Saccharomyces cerevisiae S288C: one gene and its partner. The protein of the gene in region 1 interacts with the protein of each later gene in a biochemical or structural test. Each region holds a gene or a part of one and is shown on either strand. Other genes may lie near its edges.

Region 1 (4,528 bases):
TTGATTACATATACTAGCTATGCGTTGAACTTCAAAAATTTAAATAGGCTTCACCCCAGAAATGATGTTAATGACAATAGTAATTAACCTACAGATAGACTAGAAATGAAAAAGGTACGGTTAACGTTGACGCTCCCTCGACAAGTTAGGTCAAATATGAACCACAACTGAAATATATGCGGGATATACCCGCGCTTGCGTGCATGTAACTAAGCAAAAATTCTCCATACTGTTCGAGGAAAAAAATGTTCATGAATCTCCCCTGAATAAATTAAATTAAGGTTTACGATTCGAGTTGTTTGGAAAAAAAAAAAAAGGTTCCCCTGTACTGTTGCCAACAATAGTCTTATATCTTATATCAGTAAATCTATGTTATTAGAGATAGAATATACATATATTTTATTGTATTCTTTCTTAAATACATTGTATCTAATATTCTTTTCATCGTCCAATCCCATATAAATCTTGCTTCTCTTTTTCAGCTGAGTAAGGACTTCTGTTTATACAGCGTATTTCTTTGTCCATTCTCTGGCTGTAGCTTCGTACTTGGGTCTGTCAGTCTTGTAGATATGAGCGATTTCTGGTACTAAAGGATCGTCAGGATTAGCGTCTGTTAACAAAGAACAGATGGATAATAGGACCTTCGATAGAGTTAGAGCTGGAGACCATTGATCCTTTAGGATGTCCAGACAGATGTTACCATTGGCATTGATATTTGGATGATATATCTTGGTTGTGAAGGAGATCTTTGGTGGCTTGAATGGGTAGTCGGTTGGGAAATGGATAGACAAGAAGAAAACACCGCCGGCATATGGGGAATCGGCAGGTCCCATGATGGATGCTTGCCAGTGATATAGATCATCGCCGACTGGACCGGCTGAACATGAAGTAGGTGGATCTCTAGTTCAATAGCATGTTGATTTTGTTAGTAAATAAGAGCATAAGTTTTAAAAAAAAAGCACGCATTTGAAACGTGGCCATAACTTTAGACATACCTTTCTAGATCACTTAGTTCTTTAGCAATACGTTTAGAAGAAGACATGTTTTTTTGGATGCTTGTTTATGTATGTACTCTATAGTCAGTGAAATTTATTTACTTGTGGCGATAGTGATTTTCCTGGCTTCTTTACTTTATTTTTTTTCAGGATAGATTTATTCTCTGGATTATTTATTAAGATGAAAAATAAGAATAAAGAAAAAGAAAGAAGGATGAAGAAAAAAGAAAAATACAGGCCAAGGCCTTTCAAGGTGAGCTGTTGCCAGGTTTTTCCGCAGCGGGAAAAATCTCGCAGACCATGTGACCGCCGGTACTCCTTTTCCTGTTGCTCGGCCATTTGATCCTCGCTTCGAGAAAAACTATAACAATTGATTAGTGCGGAGAGGAGGATAGGCGGTAAGATCAGTTTTGTTTATTGTATAAATGAGATACTTTGGAATAAGGACATTAGCCTTATGTTACATCATTTCTTATCACGTAAGACTACTTATTGTCAAACTTTTTATGAAGTCATAAGGTGGACATATGAATAGTGCAGTTACCCTTGTTCAGGAATGACACCTTGTGCATTCCAGTGAGAAAGGAATGTTGACTAAAACAGTAGCTGTGCTTTTTTTTTTCTTTTTTGCCTTTTTATTCTTAATGTTCAAGAAAACTTTCTTTCCATGGAATGTATGAGGACCCTTTATTTTGAGGAATGGGTTCGAATTTATCATGCAAATTGGCAAGAATTTACTAAGTGGACTATATTTAAAGAGTTGAATTTTACGGTGAAAGTAAATTAACGCTACTTCTGTTGTTTTGGAAAAGCCAAGTTCAAGTTTCTTTTCTTGATTATTTATTCTCGTAACGATTTCGCTTTTCCTCTCTATATATTTTCCTACTCCATTCTGTAAAGAGCTTCCAGAACAAAATATAAATAAATAAAAAAAACTTCTCTTCAGGCAAGAGTACGTTCTTCGCTGGTTTCCTACAGAATCAAAAGAGTACTGCAGCTTATTGTACACACTTACAATATTCAAAACATGTGTGGCCTACTCGGTTCCTGGCAAGGTTAAGCCAAGTGGTGTAGTTACCAGAAAAAAGTGAACACATACAAGATACGATGCGTAAGTACATAAGGTATGACAGCCTGTAACAAATCCACGTTAGATTTATATCTTCTAGGCTGAGAATCTGGCAGGTTTTAGCAAAACATATATAACTTGCTCTCATTAAGCGGGCTCACTGCTTAAGCGATTGTTACCTGGAACTACAGGCAAGTACAATAGCCTCCTCCAGCTTTTGACTCTGAAAAAAAGGTAACGAAAGAAACTTTTCACACAGATAGGAACTATTCTAATATTACAGTAAAGCCAGCTATGGAATAACAGGTGGCATGTGCCCACTGTATTCATGTATGAGCGGCCTTTTTTTTCCACGAAAACAGATATGATGATGTTTTAGGCCAAAATGGTGAGATCCTTTTACAGGAAGATTTTACGCCAACTCTTTCCATTTAGTGACACAGGTGAGGGTCTTTTATCGGCGCAAGGTGTTTCAGATGAGCCATTTTGCCCGTAGTCCGGTTTAATCAGCCTCATTGGAATTCCCCGGCACCGCTCGCATTCCGCGTACGACTCAAAGAATTTCCCATTGAATTCGGGAATGTGCGTGTTTCAGATTGCGTTTGCTTATTATTCTGGGAAACTCTCCGGAAACAAGCTGAGCTGGACTCCACGAATGGTCCCTCACAAGGCTCTTGGCTCATGCACAGTTAAAAAGCACCTGTAGCTACCATCAGCAATCCATGGTGCTGGAGTTTCTCTCGATGGTACGGCCCATAGCTGGAGAAAATAGCTTATTACCAAAAAAGTAATTCCCCCGCAGAGGTATATATTAAGTTTGAAACAAAAGGCTTGCTTAATTTTTTACATATGACAACCCTTTTCTTACTTTTATAAATGTTTATGAAACAGGAGATTCTTCGACTGGTGCCAGATTCCTCCCATATCGACAAGAAGAATAATCCACCTATTTCAACAATTCTGATACCTGTTTAACCATGAGTCTTAAAGAAGACGACTTTGGCAAGGATAATTCTAGAAATATAGAATCATATACTGGTAGAATTTTTGACGTATATATACAAAAAGATTCGTATTCACAGTCGGCCTTGGATGATATGTTTCCAGAAGCCGTAGTTTCAACCGCCGCTTGTGTGAAAAATGAAGCGGAGGATAACATCAATCTCATAGACACGCATCCTCAATTCGAACTGGTAAATACTGGACTGGGTGCTAAATCGGACGATTTGAAATCTCCATCAGCAAAGGCTACGTTCACTGACAAGCAGAGGAAGAATGAAGTACCAAATATATCTGTGAGCAACTACTTTCCCGGACAAAGTAGCGAAACGTCGTCAACAACGGAATCTTGGACTATCGGTTGTGATAAGTGGTCAGAAAAGGTAGAAGAGGCATTCCTTGAGGCACTTAGACTGATAATGAAAAATGGGACCACAAAAATAAAAATAAGAAATGCCAATTTTGGAAGAAACGAGCTGATTTCATTATATATCAAGCACAAAACCAACGAGTTCAGAACCAAAAAGCAAATTTCTTCCCATATTCAAGTCTGGAAGAAGACCATACAAAACAAAATCAAGGACTCGCTGACCCTATCATCAAAGGAGAAGGAGCTTCTACACCTTATCGAACATGGCGCTGAACAAACTACTGAAAACTCAAACCTGTTTTATGACATATTTGAAGAAATTATCGACTCTCTACCTTCAGTCAGTGATTCTGGAAGTTTAACCCCTAAAAACCTCTATGTAAGTAATAATAGCAGTGGATTGTCAGTACATTCAAAACTGCTTACGCCAATCACTGCTTCCAACGAGAAAAAAATTGAAAATTTCATAAAAACTAATGCTGCATCTCAAGCCAAAACCCCCCTCATTTACGCTAAGCACATTTATGAAAACATAGACGGCTACAAGTGCGTTCCGTCAAAGAGGCCTCTTGAACAACTTTCCCCCACGGAACTCCACCAGGGAGATCGCCCCAATAAGGCTAGCTTTTCCAACAAGAAGGCAATCCTGGAGAGTGCAAAAAAAATCGAAATAGAGCAGAGAAAGATAATCAACAAATACCAAAGAATTTCCCGCATACAAGAACATGAAAGTAATCCTGAGTTCAGTTCCAATTCCAATTCCGGTTCAGAGTACGAATCGGAGGAAGAAGTAGTCCCAAGATCAGCCACAGTCACACAACTCCAAAGCAGACCAGTGCCATACTACAAGAATAATGGAATGCCCTACTCACTCTCCAAAGTACGAGGAAGGCCCATGTATCCAAGACCTGCTGAAGATGCTTACAATGCCAATTATATTCAAGGTCTGCCCCAGTACCAAACATCTTATTTTTCGCAGCTGTTATTATCATCACCCCAGCATTACGAACATTCTCCACATCAAAGGAACTTTACGCCATCCAACCAATCGCATGGGAACTTTTATTAAATGTCTACATACATACATACATCTCG
Region 2 (5,694 bases), on another chromosome or scaffold:
ACTTGTAAAATTAACGTACGCTTTGTTTGGAGGCAGAGTTTCCGTAATAATCTTGAGCTGACATGAGATGTGTATTTGCTTGGTTTATGGGCTATTGTATGGGTTTGTCTTAATATCCTTTTCGGTTGCGTAAATACTTTTTATATTTCAATATTTCACGATGCCGCTGATAGCATCGTTTAATACGAAAACTTCGAGCCATTTACCAAGAAATATTCTGGACTAGGTGGAAGGAAGCTTCGAGAACTCACCGTGGCTATTCAAGGCTGATGGACATATGTACTGGGCTGAGCTTAAGATCTCCCATTACTGCTCCGTGGGGTTTTATGTGAAATGTGGCGTTTCAGCAGTTTTTAGTTGGCTAATTTCCTAAAAGTAGTAATTAGTTTCTTATGATGGATTTAATGGCGTAGTTCATCCGCGTTTAATTTAACTAGAGGATAATCTACTTGCAGCATGAATGAAAATAGTAAGCCAGTAAGGATGCACTGACAGACTCAGCTACCGATTAGTGTTGTTGACTTTTCCGCAAGATCCTTTTCTCCCTCTTTGGACCTAGTCATCCCTCCACACAAGATTCGCTCTTAAGTAGTGGCGCAGGCTGTTCGCTTTTAAGCATAGTGCTTAATGTCGAAGGCTTTATAGATCCCAAATACTACGCCTTGAGAAATTGAATGCACTAGCAGTTAGTTAACTTTCTGGAACGCGCATGACGCGTCCCGGGGCGCCTGAGGCGGAGCGTTCGCGAAATCGGGAAAACATTATACTGGGAAAGATCACTATCTATTCTCTAAATGAACTTTTAAGCAAATTATCGTAAGATAGAAAAGACGAAACCTTAGCAACCTAGCGGTTTAATATAGAAACAATTTTATTATGATACCTTCCAATAAGAGAAATGCTAGAATTTTAAGCATTACAACGCTATTATTGTTGTTAGTGTTTTTCGTAGCGCAAAATGCGAACTTCTTGACGGTAGAGATAAAAGAGGAAACTTCTAAAGCATTTAGTACTAATATGGACAATATGGCTGGAGGATCTTCCAGGGAATATGCTGCTATGCCGACTTCTACCACGAATAAGGGGAGCTCTGAAGTAGACGAAGAAATTAATGAAATAAAACAGAAGGTGGGACTCCAACAGCCCATAGCATCGGTTGATGATAGTTTGTCGGCCATTAAAAACGATAAAGGGTCGCGAATAACCAAAGCTTTTAATGTTCAAAAAGAATACTCCCTCATACTAGACTTGTCTCCGATTATAATATTTAGTAAAAGCACCTGTTCATATAGCAAGGGCATGAAGGAACTGCTTGAAAATGAGTATCAGTTTATCCCAAACTACTATATTATAGAACTTGACAAACATGGACATGGGGAAGAGCTGCAAGAATATATCAAGTTGGTGACCGGTAGAGGAACTGTTCCAAACCTTTTGGTTAATGGAGTATCAAGAGGAGGTAATGAAGAAATCAAGAAACTGCACACTCAAGGGAAACTTTTAGAATCATTACAAGTCTGGAGTGATGGTAAATTCTCGGTTGAGCAACGTGAAAAACCTTCCAATAATTGAAATTGTTACAAAAAGGAAAGAAGAAAAAATTAAGAATAAATATATAAATAAAGAGGTCGTGAATGATTAGGTCGTGAAATGCAGTGTAGTTGGAAAGGCGTAGTTTTCCTAGCACAAGGCGTTTCGGAGTTGGAATAAAGAAGCTATCACCAACGAAGAAGCTTTTTTGTCCAAGACATCTCTTAAAAGGGTTGTGAAAACATAAAACGCTTAATGCCTTCATATATACATATATAAGTTTATGGTTTCGATGTTTACAATAACTTCTATCCTTTGCTGGTCCATGCACTTCACCTTGGTAAGTTATGCAACGCACTTTTGTCTACGCCTGCATTCGATATAAAGGGTAAGCTGCCGAGATAACTTTTGTATCTTCCGTGTCTGCAGATAAAAAAATAATGCATTCTTCAAAAACTTTGTACAATATCGGGAGAGTTTAACAAGCAAAGTGGCAATACAGATTATAAAAATATGAAAGTTAAAATAAACGAAGTGCACAGTGTGTTTGCTTGGTCATGGCACATCCCTAGCACATCTGATGAGGACGCAGCCAATAACGATCCAATTGGCAATGATGAAGACGAGGATGTCTGTGGTATCTGTCGTGCCAGTTATAACGGTACCTGTCCAAGCTGTAAATTTCCAGGCGATCAATGCCCTTTAGTGATTGGGCTATGTCATCATAACTTCCATGATCATTGTATATACCGTTGGCTTGATACACCAACCTCAAAAGGACTGTGTCCGATGTGTAGGCAAACTTTCCAGCTACAGAAGGGTCTAGCAATTAATGACGCTCATGTCCAAAAGTTCGTTGAAATAGTTTCAAGAAGAAGAGAAGAAATGATAGAGGAGGGCGTCGCAGAAGAGTTTGTGGACTTTGATGAACCAATAAGGCAAAACACCGATAACCCAATCGGTAGACAGCAAGTTGATACCATCCTGGACGAAGACTTTTTGTTACGATAAAAAAGAAACTTAGAAATCACAATTAGCTATATTTCCATACGGTTCTTTTCTTGTGAACGCTGTTAACATTCTGTATACTTAAATGAAAATTTAATATTGATTTTTTCTTGTTGCAGCTAAAGATAAAAAAATTTTCTTTTCCAATCGTTGAATAGATGTACTGTAGCCGGAACTGAAGTTAAGGTTGTTAGATTGAAAAAGAACAACAGTGTACTAATCATGCTAACGATGACAGCGGTATCGTTGCATACTTAGAATACATAAAAATATGCTTCCAATCGGATTTGAACCGATGATCTCCACATTACTAGTGTGGCGCCTTACCAACTTGGCCATAGAAGCTTCTGATTTGTGTTCATTTGATTGTAAGTTAGAGTATTTCAAGCTCTAACTCAATTATGTGAACTTTCATAAAATTGTGTTATTTTTGAGAAATATGTGAGTTGTTAGATAATTGTTGGGATTCCATTGTTGCTAAAGGCTATAATATTGGTATACAGAATATACTAGAAGTTCTCCTCGAGGATATAGGAATCCACAAAAGGGAATCGATAGTTCTACATAATGTTATTATTTTATCTTCTTTCCTTTTATGCGTTGTCATTCATTATCCTATTACATTATCAATCCTTGCATTTCAGCTTCCATTAGATCGGATGACTGTTTCTCAATCTTTATGTCATCTTCTTACACCGCATGTGATAATATAATATTAAATAGATGATATTAGAGTTCAATTCCAACAATTTTCATTCTAGATAGCGGGAATATTACTGGGTATTCAGTATATCACAACGTCTCTTACAAGATAGAGGATACTACAAGAGGGAAGCAAGAATCATACATGGTAATGTTGTTTTTTCTTCCCCACATTTTTTGTTATCATTCGTTATTTATTATATTTTCAATGCTTGCATTTGCAGCTTCCATCTCATCTGATGACTGTTTCTCAATTCTTATAGTGTGTTATCATGTACGGTATTAGATGATGACATAAGGTTATGAGAAATTGTCGTCGAAGTTAAAGGAAGCTGTATTCTGTATACATAATACTATAGAATTTACAAACAGTGGAATTGCAACAATTATCAAATTATTCACCTAATAATCACCTTTAACATTCAGGGAGGTTTATTTTTGCTTCCGAAATTTTTACAGTCTACAGGGAAGAAATAAATATTTAGTTGAGAAAGTTTTGTTTATTTGTAAGTTATTAATTTGAAAAATAAATACCATAACTAGCGCAAAGCTTATAAAAGAGATGTTTGTTGAAAAATGCAGAAACCCCATATATAAAACCATGAAATGTCACAATGGACATGATGTACATTCTTGGAGATAACATCATATTCGAAATATTCAATATGCCCAATTGGTACCTGTTCTCCATACCCCATTATATGATACAAATGATCTGCCCCTATTCTAACACTGTGCTAGCAACATAGCAATTATACTAAATTTTTTCAGTCACTATGCAATACATGTAATCTCTCAACTACCAAGCAGTCATTATTCTATTAATATATATTTGTGCTTGGAAGTATTGTTTCACTTCTCAGAGGCCTTTCTTGACATGTTATAGTTTTTTAGGTACCTTCTAATCCTGTAAATTTATACAAAAATTGGTATATAATGGCTACCTCCGGAAATTTTAACAACTTTTGGGTCACACTATTACTGTGTATACTTCCTTTAGAGATCTCAAGCATTACTGAAAGATAACCTGAGGAAAAACATAGCGCGTCTACGGATGTGTAATACTCGCTGGATTTCCTGGTAAAAACTACTGTACATTTATCAGCTGCCTCTGCCAATGCTATTGAGAACCGTAGGTTCATTAGAATTACTTCATTCAACGGAAAACGTCACTATACCTGCCGCTTGTGTGTCGCGTCAGTAACGCCTTGACAGAAAAAGAAAGAAAAGAATATGACCGACCGATCGATGTATTATTATTATTGAACTGATTATAAAAAATTGGAACGTCGTAGAATCAGAAATCATAAGACAATGGCCAACTATGCCAAATCACACATCAATATTTAACCGAGATAGCAAAAGAAAATAAATTTCGATTATTTTTAAAATGTAACTGACAGTTTTTGGCACTTGTGGACTTCCTCTTTCCGGCAGATAGCAAAACCAACGGTAGAATGGCCCCGAAATTTAAATTTTATTTCATTGTGTGCTTGAGCGTGGCCTTTTTTTTTTTTTTTTTACATATCACAAACAATTCACACATTACCACACATACCATAAGCTAACGTATGCGGTGCAAAGTTCACTATTAGGCGCTTAAAGGCTTGGAACGAAATGACTTCTGGCTTTTGTTTCCTATACACATTCTTAGCAAAACTTTTGGTGTTGTAACAAGCAATGAGATAGAGAAAGAAATATATCCATCAATGGAAGAAATAGGCAGACGTCGGTAATTTTATTCTATTGAAAATATGCAAAAGTGACAGTATAAATTGAAGTAACTAATTTTACATCTAGTAAGCTGCTGTTGAAGAATTGAATAGTATCGCAGTATTTATTTTGTATACCCTTAGAATACACATACTTGGTGTTAGAAGCCATCTAATACACTATATAACTCGGGGATTAAATCATCTTGGAAGAGCGAATCTAGTTCAGGATCGCCTGTCGTAAAGTTCGAGGATAAGGACATCGAATTTAGTAGTAGTCCTAATGACTCGATGTTATTGTCTAAAATTTGTTCAATTTCTTTTCCTGATTTATCATCGTCTTCTTGAATAGGTAAACAGTAATATTTACCAAAGTTCAGGAGGGTTAGGATGGTGTGAAAAATTATAGGAAGGAACATCAAGAAAGTGCTTGAAATATTTTTCTTGGATTATGGAAGTATCAAGAACGATATTATTTCAATAATGTGATGGTTTATATCTTTGCATACAATAGATTTTGTGATACTTTTTTTATGTAATGGTCCCGTAACCCCGTCGCTCTTTCCCTTTTAATTTTGCCCGATCCACTTTCTATGCCGGTAGTTTAGCCGCCAAGTGCTATTTTCAAACGAATCAATAGTAGCGGCTGCAACTTTGAAAAAGAAAGAAACAAAATTATGCGCTAGTTTTCCATTTCTTGTATTCTTTTTTCTTTTGCGGTGGTAATTACGGGAATTTAGTG

Evidence for each region. The genes of interacting proteins can lie anywhere in the genome.
Region 2: the proteins of UBC4 (region 1) and APC11 form a complex in vitro, tested with the Saccharomyces cerevisiae proteins (22 studies listed by BioGRID).

Annotation. Positions count from the first base shown.
Region 1 is NC_001134.8:406,128-410,655, forward strand, and holds UBC4 (E2 ubiquitin-conjugating protein UBC4), read right to left. Parts: upstream 1,043-4,528; coding exon 996-1,042; intron 901-995; coding exon 501-900; downstream 1-500. Other genes in the region: TEC1 (Tec1p), read left to right, coding at 3,042-4,502. UniProt on the Saccharomyces cerevisiae protein: E2 ubiquitin-conjugating enzyme that catalyzes the covalent attachment of ubiquitin to other proteins. Mediates the selective degradation of short-lived and abnormal proteins. Mediates ubiquitination of PEX5.
Region 2 is NC_001136.10:431,454-437,147, forward strand, and holds APC11 (anaphase promoting complex subunit 11), read left to right. Parts: upstream 1-2,043; coding exon 2,044-2,541; downstream 2,542-5,694. Other genes in the region: YDL012C (uncharacterized protein), read right to left, coding at 20-64; glutathione-disulfide reductase GRX6, read left to right, coding at 877-1,572; YDL009C (uncharacterized protein), read right to left, coding at 1,472-1,795; YDL007C-A (uncharacterized protein), read right to left, coding at 5,114-5,371. UniProt on the Saccharomyces cerevisiae protein: Probably catalytic subunit of the anaphase promoting complex/cyclosome (APC/C), a cell cycle-regulated E3 ubiquitin-protein ligase complex that controls progression through mitosis and the G1 phase of the cell cycle.